Arabidopsis thaliana: one gene and its partners. The protein of the gene in region 1 purifies or fractionates together with the protein of each later gene. This does not show direct contact. Each region holds a gene or a part of one and is shown in the gene's direction. Other genes may lie near its edges.

Region 1 (4,435 bases):
AACGAATGTCGTGTTGTGGGGTTTCTTCTACTACATATGTGGTTGATTTCGACCTCGTATAAATTGTTTTTAATACTTATGGTAAATTTAAAGAATTCGGAATCTTAGTGACAAAGGAAATATTTTCGTTATCTTCTGAAATAATAGGATAAAACTGGATTATTGTCTAATGTCAACGAACGAAGATAACACTGAGGAAAAGTGTCTTCGTCAAATCGTTAACGGTTCATCTATCGAAATTCGACCTTATTTAATCGCATTACTCCAAATAGTAAAGATTGGTAAAAAAAATTTATCAACTTAAGGACTAAACGAAACTAAGTACAGAAAACATTTTAGTAGTAACAAAGTTCATGGTTTTATTCTTTAGAGGGATTTGATTGGCTTCCATAAGAGAATGAACTAATGATTGTTTCGTTGGAAGAAGTTTAAAGTAACTTGATCGTTGGTATTTGAGAAGTATTTTATGTATAATCCTAAAGACTTCAACAAAAATAAATAAAATATTATCCTAAAGTTAATTGTCAGAAACTTATAATAAAATTGTAAGATCTTTTGTTGTCGACAGTCGACGACAAATAAGATAATGCGTTTGTTGTTATTATCATAACTTATACCGTAAGTTATCAATATGAATCATATGATTTACAAGATAGACTCATCATAGTCATAGATCACATCGAGACGGAAGTTTTTTTAAGTTAAGAATGAAAAAGAAGGGAAGATAATTAAAATTATTGGCAGGGGAGCCTCGGAGATATCCCACATATGCTCAATTGTTGGGCTTCCAAACCTCTTATTTTATGTTGACTTGAGCATGCACCAACATGCATTAATATAAGTGTCATCGTATAAGTTATTAATGTCACGTCTCATCCGTCAAAAACACACAATTGTCAATCGTCCATATCTCTGCTAGGTATGATCAAACCCGACCACTCGTAAATCCATGTTATGAACTCAGATAATGTTATCTCTGTTAATATTTCTTGAATGTCCCAAAATTTAAGGGGGATGGCAATTAGGGAATGAACACTTCGATATGGTTCAAACCTTACGTTTCGCATCGATTCATGCTCTCGTCCCTATCTCCCCCACACCCAACACGTCGGAGCAAATCATCTGGTGTATTAACACTTTCATGAAGATTGGTCTCTATACAAGTAGAGAATCGTATATAAATAGTCATAGAGATAAGAAAGCTAATTAGATAAGGATCATCATTATCTAAATGACTAATTATAATTAGGAGTTATCTCAATACTTATCAAAAACTTTTGATCTACTTGCGTACGCTATATAGCTAGATTAACCACAAATCTTTTTCGAACATATCCGAATTTTCGCCTTTTTTATATGACGGTTTTTTCTAACGTATGATCTTTAGATATATCATGACTATACGTTCAATGAATACATGTTATTGTATAGTTAATATTTATGCTAGAAAAGTATAGAGTAATCTTATTATTTCATTGAATGTAAAACATAATCATCAAGAAAACTAATGCAAATAAAACAAATTAACAAAAAGGAGTAAGATAGGAAAAAACATAATCATGGATTAGGATAACTGGATAAGCATTGGATTAAGCAAAACGGAAAAAGGAAAAACAAATATTGTAGTATTTTAATAAATTACTTCAGTACAAATACAACCACATAATTAAGAACATAATGATTTTAAAAAGCTCGTAAGAATCGCCTACGTACTTAGTTGAATGTTTGAAGATTTGAAGAATAGACAACCTCCGAAGTATTTAAATTTTGAAAGAAGAAAAAAAAAACCGTTTGAGCAATCACAAAAATGTGAAAGCTGAGTTGGAGAAGAAAGGGTCCATTGGATCCCCTGACATGCTCACAACACACATGTGTCCCTCTGAGCTGTCTCCATTTTTGTTAACCCAACTTGCTTCCATTATTGTATCAATCTCACAACTCCAATTTCTTTTCACAATTAGTAAATAACTATATTAACAAATCTACAAAAAACTAGCCCCTATTTTAACCACTAGACCCAAAATTTTATAATTCCTTAAGGTGCCTATACTAATAGTAGCAAAATCACATTACCAATTATTTTGTTAATTGACCAAATTTTATCCAATAATCACATTACCAATTTTTCTAAAAGTGTATTTATGTTGTTCTTAATTTGAGGTGAAAAAAAATCCCCCTTTAAAAAGCAGGACCGGCCACAAATCCAACGGCCCAGATTAGATCTTGGTTCCAAATTTCACTCTTTTCCTCTAAAACGCATTTATCACTTTCCCTCATTAAACACAAAAACTCATTCATCGTCCTCTCTCGCTTGACCTACAACACCCGATTCTCTAATCGAAACCGTTTCTCTCTTTTTGATCAGATCTCAGATCTTTCCCTCTTTGATTCTTCTTCCTTAGATCGATTCTCTCTAGAAACAACAATGGCGTCTGGGCGTGAAGAGTTCGTATACATGGCTAAGCTCGCGGAGCAAGCGGAGAGGTACGAAGAGATGGTAGAGTTTATGGAGAAAGTCTCCGCCGCCGTTGATGGCGATGAACTCACCGTAGAAGAGCGAAATCTTCTCTCCGTCGCTTATAAGAATGTGATTGGTGCTCGCCGTGCCTCGTGGCGTATCATTTCATCGATCGAGCAGAAGGAAGAGAGCCGTGGTAACGATGACCACGTCACGGCGATCCGTGAATATAGGTCTAAGATCGAGACGGAACTCTCCGGAATCTGCGACGGAATCCTTAAGTTGCTTGACTCTAGACTCATCCCTGCCGCTGCTTCTGGTGATTCCAAGGTCTTTTACCTTAAGATGAAGGGAGATTATCACAGGTACTTGGCTGAGTTTAAGACTGGTCAAGAGAGGAAAGACGCCGCCGAACATACACTCGCCGCTTACAAATCTGCTCAGGTTTGATTCCGAATCTCAGATCTAGTTTATTTGAGTCTAGTGTGTGATCCGTGGATGGTGGTTTGTTAGATTTCCAGTATAATGAGACTTAAATTAGGGATTTGTGTATTCTCGAATAAGATCTTGAGATTGTCTAGGTTTTGAGCTTATAGTCTCTATGTGTAATTATCTGTGCAGGATATTGCTAATGCAGAGCTTGCTCCAACACACCCAATTCGTCTTGGTCTTGCATTGAACTTCTCTGTGTTCTATTACGAGATCCTCAATTCTCCTGATCGTGCCTGTAACCTCGCCAAACAGGTATTTCAATCTACTCATCTTTCAATTATGATAATGTGATTGGACTTGGTTTAACACTTGACCTCATTGGACATAAATTTGACTGGTTTTGTTGTTGTTATGTATCGTCAAGGCCTTTGATGAGGCGATTGCAGAGTTGGACACTCTTGGTGAAGAGTCATACAAAGACAGTACCTTGATCATGCAGCTTCTTCGTGACAATCTCACTCTCTGGACATCTGATATGCAGGTTTGTTCATATAATCCCCGCACCTTTGTTCTTTCTTTGTTTCTGTTATGGATGATTCGCATTCCATTGACTAAATTCTGTAACGGTGGGGATTATATTAGGATGATGCTGCGGATGAGATCAAGGAAGCAGCAGCGCCAAAACCGACCGAGGAACAGCAGTGATCTTTTGAGTGAAACTGCTAGTTTTCTTCTAGGGTTTGGAATTTCTTCTCTTTCTCGTCCATATGTTTTTCTTAATCCATCTAAGAGGTCGCTCTTGCCATTTCGCTCATCTTCAAAAGCTTATTCATTCATCATATTTGTGGCAAGTCTGAACCATCAATCATCTTTTTATCTCTTTTTAATTTATTTTCTCTTTTCTTATTTCTTTGTTGTTATCGATTTCAATGTCTGTGTAATCGAAACTTGCTTTCTTTTCTCATCAATTTGAAGATCATAAAGTCTCTTGTCTCTTATCTTGTTGCGTAGATTGATTGTTTATCAATTTTTAATTTTAAAAGCGGACTAGTTTATTGGACTGCGTAAAGCCAATTACTTTACCTGGTCTGAAATCAATCATCAATTTGATTATATAAAAATAAAAATACATTTCAAAAGAACTATTTAAGCAATAGACACTCGTTAGTCATTTGACACTTTACAGGTTTAAATTAATGATCTCGTCAGAGTTTGAAGTTTCAACTTAAAATGAAAGCATCAGAGCATAAAATTCAACCAAAGGAACAGTGAAGTGTTTGGTATAGCTAATCAACCAATCAAAAATTTAATACCCCATCGAATAGACGATGAAGAAAAAACTCTTGTATGCAATCTGATTTACAAAGAGATGAAATCATAATGGCAAACTTATAAAAATTGAATAGAGTTGCAAAAGTGTATTCCTTTCTTTTTCCTAGTCTTCTTTGTTTCTAACATGAACAAACCATGAAAACAAAAGAAAGTAAAAAAAAAAACGGATTTAAGTAATCTTTGAGTTAATTAACAAAAAAAAAAACAAATGAT
Region 2 (5,137 bases), 6.4 Mb from region 1:
CAAATTTAACAAAAAAAATAAAAAAATTGCATTTACATTATGTAGTAGTCTAATAAAATATAATTATAGATAATAGAAAAGTCAATAGTTCTAATATGATAACAACAAAAGAAAATGTATACTTTAAAATCTGAAAATTACCATTCTTTTATTTGTTATCCCAAACATAAGCCATGTACTATAATTAGGTTATTGTAATTTATTATAAAAAAAAAAGAAAGAATATTCCTGTACTTCATGATTTCTTTTTGTAACGAAGTACATAAAATTTTCAAATCACATGTGGTAACCATGATTTAACAAAAAATTAAGTCGGTGACAAGCAACGAAACATAAATAATCGACTTTGTCAAGATATGTATAAAAATCGACTTTGTATTTAGAGAACAAGGTCTTCATTATTTTTCTTTTTTAACATTAGAGAAAGAGAACTAAAGGTCTACTTCAAGAAAACAAGAAACTAGGTGCTTAGCTTTAATAATATATCAAAGAAAAATGGGTCAAAAAATAAATTATTACATGAGTGGGGCCCGGCCGGCCACGGAAGTAAGACCTAACGACCAGCGCAACCGGTCACCAGTCAAGACTATTAGAAGCCGGGCCGTCAAAATCGTTGACTCGGTTTTTGTTTCCAACTGTTTTTGTATTTTGTTAAAAATAAATTAATACTAATAAATAAGCTGAAAAAAAAGAAAAGAGAAAAGGTATAATCACGTGGAACGCGCCGCAGTAAACGGAGCGGTGGATCAAACTTTTCGTCCGTTTGATCAAACAGAAGAGAACTAGTCAATGCTCTTTCTTCATATCACAATTTAATAGTCTCAAGACGATTACGCCACATAACCATTTTCTCGTGATTTCGACATCAAAATTTAATAAAAGGAACTGATTGATTGGTCATCATGTTACAAGTGTCAAATGAGCTAATCCGTTTTACAGTGGCATAGTTTACGATCAATTTACAAATTTTTGGTTTTATAACATACTTGTAGTTAAAACTATTTATAAGCTATTTATAGTGAGTTAGCTTATAAAACCCTATTCTTTTATCTAAAATTATGTTTTGACTCGTTTCATGATAAAATTTTATCCTTTTCATCGGAATAAAAAACTTTATTATTTATTTGGCAAAATAATTGGTGTAAAAATTATGTATATGTTAATAACAAAAAATATTAATCTGATTCATAATCTTAAAAAAGAAAAATTTCTTGAAATAAACTTTAGACATTGTAAATAAAAAAACATTATTTTTATATAATGGGATGTTTATATGTAATTTTTTATAAAAAAATAAAAGTTGTTTACTAGTAATCCGATTGGCTTTAACTATCGTCGCCAAAAGAATAATGTAGAACTGACTTTGAGGTAAAACTAAAAGAAATTTGTAAGATAATAGTCACATTAAATGCTAAAATTAATACATACTGATATATCGTATAAAATTTATGAAAACTACACCTTAACCTGAATCATACACTGTAATAAAAAAAACAAATTATATATAAACCCTAAAAACTAATCATAAATCCCAAACGGTGTACTCTCTATTAGCTTTGAAAGGATTGCCCAATTGTTTGTTAAAAATTTCTAATAATAGTACAATGTTTTGTTTCATTTTTCCTTTTCGTCAACCTGTTACCCAATAGCAAATGAAGTTTTTATGTGTGTGTGTGTGTGTGAATTTCCATGAAAATGAAACGGGCTTAGAATCCCGGTGTATTATGGGTCGGGTCGTAACCGGGCAATGACGCAGGATCTGACGTAAAACTCCCAAGAATTTTTTTAAAAAGTCTCCGGAAAATAAAATCAAAGTTCATTAACTTAAAAAGAAAAAACAAAATCGGTCCACGTCCCAAACCCTTTTTATAGGAGAGTCTTATGTTCTGGCAGAAGACTTCACAGACTCTTTCTTAATCTCTCTCTCTTTCAACCAAACCCCTAAACAAAAAAAAAATACATTTTCTGATCTCTCTAAAAATCTTTCTCCTTCGTTAATCTCGTGATCTCTTTCTTTTTCTATATATGGACAGAGGATGGTCTGGTCTCACTCTTGATTCATCTTCTCTTGATCTTTTAAACCCTAATCGTATTTCTCATAAGAATCACCGACGTTTCTCAAATCCTTTGGCGATGTCTAGAATTGACGAAGAAGATGATCAGAAGACGAGAATATCAACCAACGGTAGTGAATTTAGGTTTCCGGTGAGTCTCTCAGGTATTCGTGATCGTGAAGATGAAGATTTTTCATCTGGCGTTGCTGGAGATAATGACCGTGAAGTTCCCGGCGAAGTGGATTTCTTCTCCGACAAGAAATCTAGGGTTTGTCGTGAAGACGACGAAGGATTTCGTGTGAAGAAGGAAGAACAAGATGATCGAACGGACGTAAATGTAAGTACGACTTTTCGATAAATCATATGAAATACAATTTTCTTACTAATGGTTTGTATTAGTGTGGACGTGTCATAATTTGGTTTACATTTGAAATATCAAATAAAAATACCAAATTTTGTTTCATTTTTTTTTTTTTGATAAAGGTATCATATTTTGTTTTCTTACAAAATGATTTCTAAATTTGAATTTTAATTTGTTATAGACCGGTTTGAATCTTCGAACAACTGGTAATACAAAGAGTGATGAGTCAATGATCGATGATGGAGAATCTTCCGAAATGGAAGATAAGCGTGCGAAAAATGAGGTAAGTTTAGTTTGATTTTACATTAGTAATATTTAATAGATGAATAATTTGAACCGGTTTGATTAATATTTCGATTTTTTTTTGTTTATCACAGTTGGTGAAATTACAAGATGAGTTGAAGAAAATGACAATGGATAATCAAAAGCTTAGAGAATTGCTTACACAAGTTAGCAACAGTTACACTTCACTTCAGATGCATCTTGTTTCACTAATGCAGCAACAGCAACAACAGAACAATAAGGTAAATAATTATTAGATTGATCAACCACAAGTAAATGGAATTTACCCTACATGAATAGGCAATTAATTTTGGTGAACCTATATGATTAGGTAATAGAAGCTGCTGAGAAGCCTGAGGAGACGATAGTACCAAGGCAATTTATTGATTTAGGCCCTACGAGAGCAGTAGGTGAGGCCGAGGATGTGTCAAATTCTTCATCCGAAGATAGAACTCGTTCGGGGGGTTCTTCTGCAGCCGAGAGGCGTAGTAACGGGAAGAGACTTGGGCGTGAAGAAAGCCCCGAAACTGAGTCCAACAAAATTCAGAAGGTGAATTCTACTACCCCGACGACATTTGATCAAACCGCTGAAGCTACGATGAGGAAAGCCCGTGTCTCCGTTCGTGCCCGATCGGAAGCTCCGATGGTAAGTTGATTTATTAGATACTAATACTTATAAGACTATATAAAAAATAAACTATGTGCTTTAGAGATTAATTATCTTTGTACTTTATGTTTCTATAGATAAGCGATGGATGTCAATGGAGAAAATATGGCCAGAAGATGGCCAAAGGGAATCCTTGTCCGCGGGCATATTACCGCTGCACGATGGCCACGGGCTGTCCCGTTCGCAAACAAGTAAGATTTAAAAGATTTAACCATTGGACTAAAAGATTCTTGTTGTAAAAACATTAGAGATTTCAATGTATATATGTTTGCGTGATTGGCTAATACGTTCGGTCCGAAATGATATTTATAGGTTCAACGTTGCGCGGAAGACAGATCAATTCTGATTACAACCTACGAGGGAAACCATAACCATCCGTTGCCGCCAGCCGCGGTAGCCATGGCTTCTACCACCACGGCGGCGGCTAACATGTTGCTATCCGGGTCAATGTCTAGTCACGACGGGATGATGAACCCTACAAATTTACTAGCTAGGGCTGTTCTTCCTTGCTCCACAAGCATGGCAACAATCTCAGCCTCCGCGCCGTTTCCAACCGTCACATTAGACCTCACCCACTCACCTCCGCCTCCTAATGGTTCCAATCCTTCCTCTTCCGCGGCTACCAACAACAACCACAACTCACTGATGCAGCGGCCGCAACAACAACAACAGCAAATGACGAACTTACCTCCGGGAATGCTACCTCATGTAATAGGCCAGGCATTGTATAACCAATCCAAGTTCTCGGGGCTGCAGTTCTCTGGTGGCTCTCCCTCGACGGCAGCGTTTTCTCAGTCACACGCGGTGGCTGATACAATAACGGCACTCACAGCTGACCCGAATTTCACGGCGGCTCTTGCAGCCGTTATTTCTTCTATGATCAATGGTACGAACCACCACGACGGCGAAGGAAACAACAAAAATCAATAGAAAAATATTACATTTTTTTTTTGGGTATCTACATTTTTTTTCCAACTGGGTTATAGGAAACAGAGAGTTTATTTCATTGATTCACATTTGTTCTGTTTCGTACCAAAATCCCAGTAAATATACAAAAGCAAACTATACTCAAGTTCATATTCGTAAACACTATAAATAGTTACGTAACTTAATTAGCATTGCCTTTAAAGCTTTAATATTTGATATTTCTTTTGAGTGGTATATTAAATACTTCACATGTGAGCGCCGATACAAACCTAATAGTTTGGCCGTACCTTCAATAAGATAATGAGATATCATCAAATAAGTGTCCTACATAATGACACTTAATTATTGAACTTTTAATAACCTTTTTATATATATTTAACAATTGCAACGGTCAATAAATGCTACCATAACAATTTGACACGTAATTGCTGTCTAATTAAGTCACCTAAAAATCTGTACACATTAATATTTGCTAACAAATAGAGACAACTTCCTAGAAACTACGAGTTTAATGGCATGAAAAATTTGAAGATAAATAAACTGAAATATGTGACCAAAAATTTAGGCAACAATATAACGAAAAGTTTAGCTTTGTCAATTTCTTCATTTTTATGAAGTAAAAATAGGATTTTCTAGAAAATTATTAAAATTTCGATACGTAATTATCTGTGTACTGTGGAGTAATAATATTGTAAATAGATGGAATAATATCTCAAGCTTTGGAAGGAAGCGATACGCAAAAGTACGTTGTTGACTTTCCGTGCAACTCTAGTTGACGTGGGGGTCATGATTTGCCAATAATGCATTTTTTTAATACAGGTAAGTCTTTATTATGCTTAATTTTAA
Region 3 (7,063 bases), on another chromosome or scaffold:
TTGACGTTATGTGACTTAGTCAAACCAATCCGTTTATATAATTTCCTTGTATAGTGTCGATGCACAAAATCAATTGATGATACCCTTATATTTTTGTATTCAGATACTTGAAATGGGAATAGTGTCACATTCAATAATCATAGGAATATCGCTTGGAGTATCACATAGCCCATGCACCATACGTCCTCTCCTTCTCGCTCTTTCCTTCCACCAATTCTTCGAAGGTTTTGCCCTCGGTGGCTGCGTCGCAGAGGCCAGACTAACCCCGCGTGGATCTGCCATGATGGCTTTCTTCTTCGCCATCACTACTCCGATCGGTGTAGCGGTGGGAACGGCCATTGCCTCATCTTACAACTCTTATAGCGTTGCAGCATTGGTGGCTGAAGGAGTGCTCGATTCTCTCTCTGCGGGGATACTTGTGTACATGGCGCTTGTGGATTTGATCGCTGCGGATTTCTTGAGCAAGAAGATGAGTGTTGATTTCAGAGTTCAAGTTGTTTCTTATTGCTTTTTGTTTCTTGGAGCTGGGATGATGTCTGCTCTTGCAATTTGGGCTTGATCACTTTTCATTATTACTATTTGTTTATGAAAGTAATAAATTTAGGCATGCCTTTTTCTTTTTTCTTTTGGACAGAATTATTATAGGTATGCCTATCACTCTATTTGTTTCAAAATAATGTTTGTAATCAATTCTATTAGATATTCACTCTTTATCAATCATGTTATATATTTTTGTAGCTGGTAAACAAATAATTAATTTTTGAACAAAAAACAAAAACAAATACAATTAGTTTTTACAAGCAAGTATGCAACTGAAATCCAAAGATTTTCTTGACGCCTTTTCGAGCATATTCTAATCCTTCATTTTGATTTAGCTCAAGAAACGCCATAATAGAACCATATATATGAACTAAGTGTTTTTAAAAAGAGTAGGTCATGACTCATGAGTAATCTTTTCCACGATCTTTAAGATATATTATTCTTGGAAGGTCGAAAACTATAATATTTCATTTTCTGTCGAATATATATATATATGGATGACGATGGTTCCCATGCATGATGAAGAAAAAGACGAACCCTATATTTATCTGTTTAATTAAAATTTTCTTTGTGGAGATAAACTCTCTGTGAAACGCATTCCGCCACCTAATTTATCATATATTTTCATGTGAACCAAAATAATTAAAATTTGTTTGCCATATATATATTTATTTGTTGTTATCTTTCTGAGTGATAAAGGTGACAAACATTTTTGTCCACTGATACCCAATCTCTTCCACTTCAGTTCCCTTCCTTTCAAATTTTATCTCGTGCTTTTACAGCATATCCCACAATTCCTGTAAATTATCTCAAGGATTTGGTGCATAAATTCTATTTTTTCGTACTTTTTTGTTGGATATGTAAATCAGAACCAAAAAAACTTAACATTGATTAAACTTTACAATTTACGTATGTCCCATTAGAGGGGAACTACAGTTTTTGTAGGAAAATAAGAAATTTGCGAACTAAAGACACTAAATAATCCTACTTTTAAAATCACAATAGTTAGTACTCAATAAAAAATATTGTATATTGTTGTGAAAAAATGTAAATAGTTTGGAGAAACTGCTACTAATAAACAAATAATTAAGAGATGTCGGAGATCCAATTTAATCATAAAAATAAAATGATTAGCACAATATTGCACTACTGATTTAGATGCGATACACGTGGAATCTGCAACTTTTCACCAACCACATCCGAGCCTACACCACGAAATTTGAGGATTTTTATTTATTTCCCAAAAATTTCTCTGTATTTATAAACTAACTATTTCTTGGGACGTGAATATACACATTTTATATTCAACGGTCCGTGAGTGTATATTGTATATACTCTCTCTCAGATTCCCTCCTTGTAGCTAGCTTCTACCTCCTCCTTTCATTCATGGCGAAAAACTAAAAAAGACATCCATCTTTCTCAAAACATCTCTCTTACTCTCTTCGTTTTCTGACTGCAACCTTTTTTCCCAATGGAGCGCGCAAGGAGACTTGCTTACAGAGGAATCGTCAAACGTCTCGTTAACGACACAAAACGACACCGTAACGCTGAAACACCTCACCTTGTTCCTCACGCTCCGGCGAGGTATGTCTCTTCCCTTTCCCCTTTCATCTCCACCCCTCGATCTGTCAACCACACGGCGGCTTTCGGGAGGCACCAGCAGACGCGTTCCATCTCCGTCGATGCTGTTAAACCCAGCGATACTTTCCCTCGTCGTCACAACTCTGCAACACCAGACGAACAAACCCACATGGCTAAATTCTGTGGCTTTGACCATATCGATTCACTCATCGATGCTACGGTGCCCAAATCGATTCGATTAGATTCCATGAAGTTCTCCAAATTCGACGCTGGTTTAACCGAGAGCCAAATGATTCAACACATGGTTGATTTAGCTTCCAAGAACAAGGTTTTCAAATCCTTCATCGGGATGGGTTACTACAACACTCATGTCCCTACTGTCATTCTCCGTAACATCATGGAGAATCCAGCTTGGTACACTCAATACACTCCTTATCAAGCTGAGATCTCTCAAGGTCGTCTCGAATCGCTCCTCAATTTCCAGACCGTGATCACAGATCTCACGGGTCTTCCTATGTCCAATGCGTCGCTTCTGGATGAAGGCACTGCTGCTGCGGAGGCAATGGCCATGTGTAACAACATTCTTAAGGGTAAAAAGAAGACCTTTGTCATTGCTAGTAACTGTCACCCTCAGACTATTGATGTTTGTAAGACTAGAGCTGATGGGTTTGATTTGAAAGTTGTCACCTCTGATCTTAAGGATATAGATTACAGCTCTGGTGATGTTTGTGGGGTTCTTGTTCAGTATCCTGGTACTGAAGGTGAAGTCTTGGATTATGCTGAGTTTGTTAAGAATGCTCATGCTAATGGTGTTAAGGTTGTGATGGCTACGGATTTGCTGGCTTTGACTGTGTTGAAACCTCCTGGAGAATTTGGGGCGGATATTGTTGTTGGCTCTGCTCAAAGGTTTGGTGTTCCGATGGGTTATGGTGGTCCTCATGCTGCGTTCTTGGCTACTTCACAAGAGTATAAGAGAATGATGCCTGGGAGGATTATTGGTATTAGTGTTGATTCTTCAGGAAAGCAAGCTCTGCGTATGGCTATGCAGACTAGAGAACAGCATATTAGGAGGGACAAAGCCACTAGCAACATCTGTACTGCTCAAGTAATTACTTCTTAGTATCTGATTACTCATTTTTCACTTTTCACTATTAGTTCGTTCAGATAACTAGATGATATGTTGATTCATGTTGATGAGTACTTCATCTTTTCATTTTCCTGCAGGCGTTGCTTGCCAACATGGCTGCCATGTATGCTGTTTACCATGGACCTGCAGGTCTAAAATCTATTGCCCAGCGTGTCCATGGTCTCGCTGGTATATTTTCCTTAGGGTTGAACAAGCTTGGGGTTGCAGAAGTTCAAGAACTTCCTTTCTTTGACACTGTTAAAATTAAGTGTTCGGATGCACATGCAATTGCTGATGCAGCTTCCAAAAGTGAAATTAATCTGCGTGTTGTGGACTCAACCACTGTGAGTCTCCTTTGCTTTGGCCTTTCAAGGTTTTTACTCTCATAGCATCATACAGATTTGAATATTTGGATATGATTACTTAATTCAGATTACTGCTTCCTTTGACGAAACAACCACCTTGGATGATGTCGATAAACTTTTCAAAGTTTTTGCTTCTGGCAAGCCTGTGAGTGTTGTTCATACCTCTTTTTGTTATTGATATATCATTTCTAGGATCCTTGCATGAAATTTGACTATCTCAATTCGCTTCAGGTTCCATTTACGGCTGAATCTCTAGCACCCGAGGTTCAGAATTCCATTCCTTCTAGCCTAACAAGAGAGAGTCCTTATCTTACCCACCCAATCTTCAACATGTATTATTCTGTTCTTTGAATCTTGAGTGGCTTATTACTTGTGGATTGGCAGTATCTCATTTTTGTTTTCCATTTTGATAATATGATTAGGTACCACACAGAGCATGAGTTGCTTAGGTACATCCACAAGTTACAGTCAAAGGATCTATCACTGTGCCACAGCATGATTCCGTTGGGATCTTGTACGATGAAACTAAATGCAACAACTGAAATGATGCCAGTCACATGGCCAAGTTTCACTGACATTCACCCTTTTGCTCCTGTTGAACAAGCACAAGGTTATCAGGTTAGTGACTTTCTTGATTCATCTGAGGTCTGATTTAGAAAGTTGAACAATGAACTGATATCTTGTCCACATGTATGTAGGAAATGTTCGAAAATTTGGGTGACCTCTTGTGTACGATCACTGGGTTTGACTCTTTCTCGTTGCAACCTAATGCTGGTGCTGCTGGTGAGTATGCCGGGCTTATGGTTATCCGCGCATATCACATGGTAACATCTTTTATCCTAAATTTGGATCTTATTCTACCTAACAATCTTCTATTCAATTGTATTAAGCTGAAAAGTGAATGAATGAATGCATTTTTCAGTCAAGAGGAGATCATCACCGTAATGTGTGTATCATACCTGTCTCTGCACACGGTACAAACCCTGCAAGTGCTGCTATGTGCGGGATGAAAATTATTACAGTTGGAACTGATGCTAAGGGAAACATTAACATTGAGGAGGTGAGAAAAGCTGCAGAAGCCAACAAAGACAACTTAGCTGCTCTTATGGTTACATACCCTTCAACTCATGGAGTCTATGAAGAGGGCATCGACGAGATTTGCAACATAATACACGAAAATGGAGGTCAAGTGTACATGGATGGTGCCAACATGAATGCACAGGTGAAATATCTTACTAAAACAGAACACAGAGATCTTGAATTTTCTCTAATTTGTAAGAGCATGGTGTTGGGTACGTGTAGGTTGGTTTGACGAGCCCTGGTTTTATTGGAGCGGATGTGTGCCATCTCAATCTCCACAAGACCTTCTGTATTCCTCATGGAGGTGGTGGTCCTGGTATGGGTCCCATTGGTGTGAAGAATCATTTGGCACCATTTCTTCCTTCTCACCCCGTGGTTAGTCTTTTATCCTTCATCACTTTTATGTTTCTTGGTGATTGATGATTAATTCCTTAATTTTTTGTTTCTTCCATTTCCATGTATACAGATACCGACTGGTGGTATCCCACAACCCGAGAAGACAGCACCTTTGGGTGCAATATCCGCTGCACCATGGGGATCTGCGCTTATCTTGCCTATATCTTATACTTACATTGCCATGATGGGATCTGGTGGGCTCACTGATGCCTCTAAGATTGCAATTTTGAATGCCAATTACATGGCAAAGCGCCTAGAGGTAGTAGAACATCTTTGTCTTCTATTTACCTATTCATCTTTTGAGAATGAAAGGAGTCTAATTTTCCTCTTGATTTGTTTTTACAGAAACACTACCCAGTTCTTTTCCGTGGTGTTAACGGAACAGTAGCACACGAATTCATCATAGACTTGAGAGGCTTCAAGGTATGAAAATGTTGTGAACTGAAATTAAAGTAGTTGTTTTGGGTATGCATATCACTGACCGATTCAAATATGAATTTGTAGAACACTGCTGGAATAGAACCAGAGGATGTGGCGAAACGGCTAATGGACTATGGATTCCATGGACCCACAATGTCTTGGCCTGTCCCTGGAACTCTTATGATTGAGCCAACCGAGAGTGAAAGCAAGGTAAATATGGATATATGCAGATCTCTCATTGACTCTTTCTTCTCTCAGTGTATCAACTTGATGAAACTAAATAATATTCGTTTGCAGGCGGAGCTAGACAGGTTCTGCGATGCTCTCATTTCAATCAGGGAAGAAATTGCACAGATTGAAAAAGGAAATGCAGATGTCCAGAACAACGTTCTCAAGGTAATTAGGAAAACAAAGACTTATCATAATTATATCCAATAATAATATTGTTCGGAGAAGTTGAGATTCATACGTTGGTGGTTGTTTGTTTTCTCAGGGAGCTCCACATCCCCCATCGTTGCTAATGGCAGACACATGGAAAAAGCCGTATTCTCGAGAGTATGCTGCTTTCCCTGCGCCTTGGCTCCGCTCCTCCAAGTTCTGGCCCACCACAGGTATTAGACCATCCAAGATATAGATTGCACATTTGGTTTTCGATTCAGTTTATTCTGGTTTCGGAATTCTGATATGTGACAAATGATTGAAATGTGGAACAGGGCGTGTGGACAATGTATATGGAGACAGGAAACTGGTGTGCACTCTCCTCCCAGAGGAAGAACAAGTCGCAGCTGCAGTGTCTGCTTGATTACTGCTCTGTCCCATTGTGTTGTGTCCCTTTCTCTCACCACGCACTCTTCTCTTTCACATTCTGTCCATAGTGTTCTCATTATACGCTTTCTGTCTCTTACTCTATTATTTCATTCGAATACATCTTCTATAAATTATATATTCCACAATTGACCGAAAACAAAACACAAACTTTGGTAGAATCAAGACTTAAATCAACTATACTGCCATAGACGCAAGATGAAAAGAAAAATGCTTCATTACTTTCAATGGAACAATTACAGTAAAGTCATCAAAACAAAGCAAAGTGCTTGACAATTTTACTTACAGCTAATAATCATCAACTACGTTGGCTTAAAATAAAATAAGGAAAACCTTCTTTCCTCGTTCTGCTCTTGCGCTATGACAATCTCACTCGAATTACAGGACCAAGCAGAAAAAAGATGACCGGTGTTGCATGGACAGTTGTGCCTCAGTCTTCAACCTCAGTGTTGAATATAAAACTTGGGAATGCTGTCGTCACATCCCTTCAAATTCAAATACAGATATGGTTGATGATAAAGTAAAGGAAATCCTAAATGGAAGGGCTAATCTAAAAAAGAGAGAGGATTTGGTACTTTAGGTAAGGAAGAGTCATATTCTTCAACAAGCTAGGATGTTTATGCACATAGACATTCCATTCATCCTTACTAATTTTACCGTCTTTGTCAGAATCTGCATCAGCAAATGTCTAGCAAAAACAAAGTAGAGAAAGAAAAGAAGCATGTGCTAA
Region 4 (4,088 bases), on another chromosome or scaffold:
TCTTAAACTTAGTGCTTAGTATATTATGATTTAGGGGACAATTCCGTTATTATTTCTGCATAGGTAAAGTAATCATATATTTGTTTAAACTACCGGTACAATTTAAACTTTAAAATAATGTAAAATATGTAGTTTTTTTCAAGGCCAAAACAAACGTTTCTTTTTGTAATTGTTCAACACAAGTTGATTCACAATCGAAATAATTTATGTGCGAAAACTCAGTTAATAGTTGTGAAATATTACTTCAAAAAACACTGGTAAATTGGTAATGCGTGTCTTCTGAAATTATTATGATGCCACTTGATTAATATTAGATTATTCCTAAGTGAGACATTTCTCTTTGATATTGGTGACATAATTTTATCTAGGCTTCAATATATATATATATATGGTCAAATTCATTCAATATATTTCTTTCAATGAAAGTTGTCGTTTCTATGTTTATAAATTTATTTTATGTATATATGATTATTCTTTACTTATAGTTTATTTACGTTCAACTTACTCTTTTATATTTGTGTCGTTATTTATGTATATTCAAGTAAACAAAGAATTATACAAAAGGTTGTCTTTTTGACACATTTTAACTCATAGCAAAATATATTTCAAAAGTAGAAACATATGTTCATGTTCAATCTCCACGGATCGAATATGGGTAAAGTCGGAAATCGGCATAGTACGTGTAAGACTGTAGAGTCGAAAAAAAAACAGAGAAAGTGAGACTTTTCATGTCATATAACATGTAAATGATTTTTTTTATAAAACCCATCCATATCGTATATGCTGGATTACCGAATCGCCACGTAAAATTAAATTAATCAAACAAAAATGAAAAATCCATGAGACTTTGTGGAGATTGCTTCACTGTCTTCTCCGCGTGGATGAGAGATCAATAACACATACAAAAAAAGAGTTTAGGCTGCATGTGAACTACGTAATGTCCGTCAATTTCTCTGTTTCGCCAATTTTTGCTATTAACTTAATTTATTTACACCAATAATTGAACTAAACACATGCATTATCATTTATGTAATATCCCTATATGCACACATAGCAAATTCTGTTTTTAGTAACTTCCTTTCCTAAACCAATACGGCAATACCGCTTATTAGTTTTGCCTTTACCCAAACATATGAATGTTTTCTTTACCTCAATCAAATTTCACCTAAATCTCTATATAGAATGTTGTACTAGGTTTTTAGTTTATAAATAATAGGCATTTTGATGATCTTACATTTCTGATAAATAATTACACTGGCCTCTCTCTTTTGTTTTTGAAGTAAAAAATATTTTGGAAAATTACCATTTGATCTTCAAATTAGTAATTAGCGAACGCATTTTCGCCAAATAACTATACACTATTTTATAAAATCATACAATTTAACGTTTGTCATCAAAGTTATTTACTTAAATATGACCAAAATTTTGTTATCTAACTAACTACATCTTATAAATAATGGAAATTTCTGCTAAACCGAATTAAAAATAATCTAAATTTTGGATTAGTTTTTCATTTTCTGGTTATCCAACTATTTTTGTAAAATTTCTTAAATATAACCCATTACAAGACACTTTTCTTTCTGGTTTGGCTCGAAATTTCACCGATTCAAATCTAAATCTTTAGTACGTAAACCGGTCTACATTAAATAAACCAATCCATATACTGTAATTAAAGTTACACAAGTAAACCGGATCCAACCTAAGACCATCTCTATTGGGGGTATCTCATAAGAGTTTCTCATAATTAAAAAAATAAAAATAATGAAAATGAAGGAAAGAGAGTGTAGAAAGTTTCTCACTTGAAAAACTCTGAGATACTCTTTACAACCCATTGTGACAATTCTCATCTTACTATTGGTTTAATTTTTTAACAAAAATAATTTTTTTAATCAAATAATCAAATTATAATATAATATTAAATTTTTTTTGTTCGAAAAATTTTGTGGGTTTATCATGGATGGAAATGCCCTATGCTTTGACCTTACACACATCCCCGTGATTGGTGTGGACCGTACATCGGCGCGTGAACTCCACTGTCCCTCCCACTTACTTCATCTCCTTCCATATAATCCCAAACCCCCCTCTCTCTCTCTCTCTCTTCTCAACAATGGCTTCACTCAAATCTCTCTTCCTCCTCTTCCTCTTCTTCTTCACAGCTCAATCTCGCTTAACCACAAACTTCTACTCAAAAACATGCCCAAGATTCCTCGACATCATCCGTGACACAATCACAAACAAACAAATCACTAATCCCACCACCGCAGCCGCCGTTATCCGTCTCTTCTTCCACGACTGTTTCCCTAACGGCTGCGACGCCTCCGTCCTCATCTCCTCCACCGCCTTCAACACCGCAGAACGTGACTCTTCCATCAACCTCTCACTCCCCGGAGACGGTTTCGACGTCATTGTCCGAGCCAAAACAGCTCTCGAACTCGCTTGTCCCAACACAGTTTCTTGCTCAGACATCATCTCCGTCGCAACACGTGATCTTCTAATCACCGTCGGTGGTCCTTACTACGACGTTTTCCTCGGCCGTCGTGATTCAAGAACGTCGAAATCTTCTCTTTTAACCGATCTTCTTCCTCTTCCTTCCACACCAATCTCTAAAATCATTCAACAGTTTGAATCAAAAGGTTTCACTGTTCAAGAAATGGTTGCTCTTAGTGGAGCACATTCTATAGGGTTTTCACATTGTAAAGAGTTTGTGGGTCGGGTGGGTCGGAATAATACCGGGTATAACCCGAGATTCGCAGTGGCTTTGAAGAAAGCTTGTGCTAATTACCCTAAAGATCCGACTATCTCTGTGTTTAATGATATTATGACTCCTAATAAGTTTGATAATATGTATTATCAGAATCTTAAAAAGGGTCTTGGGTTACTTGAATCGGATCATGGATTATATTCTGACCCTAGAACCAGATATTTTGTTGATCTTTATGCTAAGAATCAAGATCTGTTTTTCAAAGATTTTGCTAAAGCTATGCAGAAGTTGAGTCTTTTTGGTATACAGACTGGTAGAAGAGGAGAGATCCGAAGAAGGTGCGATGCTATTAATTGAGTTTATGTTTTTAATTTATTTAATTTTTGGGTTATATTGGATTGTGAATCTTCTGAGTTATTACACTCATATGTTTTTGTGTAATGTAAAAGATATATGGTTGATTGTTCTAATTAAGAGATTGGTTTTGGTACAAAGATTGTTAACCTTTGTGCAGAGATTGAATTTGATGATTATGTAAAGGAAATGTTCTGCATTTCAGCTCTAAAATTTGAGTCCGGTTCAGTGAGAGTAAACCAAACTGAAGTAGTTGTAGTTTGAGTTTGGTAATCATTCATTAGTGGCTGATTGATAATTAATATGTTGGTTGAGATAAGAGATGTGATTTAATGGATACGGAGTTGGTAGCTCAACGAGTGAACTTTTGGAATCTGGAGCATCTAGGGGGTTTAGAGTTTGAGCACCACCAACAATAAAGAGAGATTTACATTACAATGGAAACCTTCTTTCTTCGATCTAATTAACTATATTTGTGGTTTCTTGTTGGAAAAGATTATAGTTTTTGGCCCATATACAAAAATTAGGCCTTGGTTTCTGGTAAAGTTGTAAATTTCTAGTGTTTTATTTATATCTTGTGACAGAATGTGGTATGCTATTTGTGTGCATTTGAAAAATGGATCAGTTACAAGTAGTCACACAATCAAGCCCAAACCTAGTTATTAGTCCTCCTTCATCTCGGCTCAGACACAAGTCCAGTTTTGTCGGTTCTTAGAAAGAGTCTTAAGAGCACCCTCAATGGTAGTTGTTTAATAGAAAGAAACTCTAGAAGCTCTTAGAGCACCATTATTGATAATTGCTTAGGTTAATTCTTAGAAAACTTTGGTTATGAATTTAATGTTTTTAATCATATATTTGTTAAGAGAGTCTCTTATATAAGAGACAAATTGAAGTTTTCTTAGTTTTTGTTTCAGAAATTTTAAAATTAATTCATAAAAAGTTCTAAGAACTAAGTTAAGAGTAATCTAAGACACTAGCAATAATGATGCTCTTAGCACAATATCACAAAAGCTCTTAGCACATGGCCTAGCAC

Evidence for each region.
Region 2: the proteins of GRF2 (region 1) and WRKY6 purify together in Arabidopsis thaliana (affinity purification with mass spectrometry, with the first as the bait; one study listed by BioGRID). This does not show direct contact.
Region 3: the proteins of GRF2 (region 1) and GLDP1 purify together in Arabidopsis thaliana (affinity purification with mass spectrometry, with the first as the bait; one study listed by BioGRID). This does not show direct contact.
Region 4: the proteins of GRF2 (region 1) and AT3G28200 purify together in Arabidopsis thaliana (affinity purification with mass spectrometry, with the first as the bait; one study listed by BioGRID). This does not show direct contact.

Annotation. Positions count from the first base shown.
Region 1 is NC_003070.9:29,459,458-29,463,892, forward strand, and holds GRF2 (general regulatory factor 2), read left to right. Parts: upstream 1-1,933; 5' UTR 1,934-2,425; coding exon 2,426-2,902; intron 2,903-3,079; coding exon 3,080-3,202; intron 3,203-3,314; coding exon 3,315-3,431; intron 3,432-3,532; coding exon 3,533-3,595; 3' UTR 3,596-3,932; downstream 3,933-4,435. UniProt on the Arabidopsis thaliana protein: Is associated with a DNA binding complex that binds to the G box, a well-characterized cis-acting DNA regulatory element found in plant genes.
Region 2 is NC_003070.9:23,016,044-23,021,180, reverse strand, and holds WRKY6 (WRKY family transcription factor), read left to right. Parts: upstream 1-1,686; 5' UTR 1,687-2,025; coding exon 2,026-2,391; intron 2,392-2,596; coding exon 2,597-2,698; intron 2,699-2,792; coding exon 2,793-2,939; intron 2,940-3,028; coding exon 3,029-3,343; intron 3,344-3,441; coding exon 3,442-3,555; intron 3,556-3,676; coding exon 3,677-4,294; 3' UTR 4,295-4,612; downstream 4,613-5,137.
Region 3 is NC_003075.7:15,926,099-15,933,161, reverse strand, and holds GLDP1 (glycine decarboxylase P-protein 1), read left to right. Parts: upstream 1-1,739; 5' UTR 1,740-2,011; coding exon 2,012-3,226; intron 3,227-3,345; coding exon 3,346-3,591; intron 3,592-3,679; coding exon 3,680-3,757; intron 3,758-3,843; coding exon 3,844-3,944; intron 3,945-4,034; coding exon 4,035-4,230; intron 4,231-4,310; coding exon 4,311-4,436; intron 4,437-4,534; coding exon 4,535-4,834; intron 4,835-4,914; coding exon 4,915-5,067; intron 5,068-5,158; coding exon 5,159-5,347; intron 5,348-5,433; coding exon 5,434-5,511; intron 5,512-5,592; coding exon 5,593-5,718; intron 5,719-5,805; coding exon 5,806-5,904; intron 5,905-6,001; coding exon 6,002-6,119; intron 6,120-6,221; coding exon 6,222-6,310; 3' UTR 6,311-6,510; downstream 6,511-7,063. Other genes in the region: ZIP9 (ZIP metal ion transporter family), read left to right, coding at 104-559; CBL10 (calcineurin B-like protein 10), read right to left, coding at 6,764-6,818, 6,909-7,021. UniProt on the Arabidopsis thaliana protein: The glycine decarboxylase (GDC) or glycine cleavage system catalyzes the degradation of glycine.
Region 4 is NC_003074.8:10,515,975-10,520,062, forward strand, and holds AT3G28200 (Peroxidase superfamily protein), read left to right. Parts: upstream 1-2,002; 5' UTR 2,003-2,107; coding exon 2,108-3,058; 3' UTR 3,059-3,542; downstream 3,543-4,088.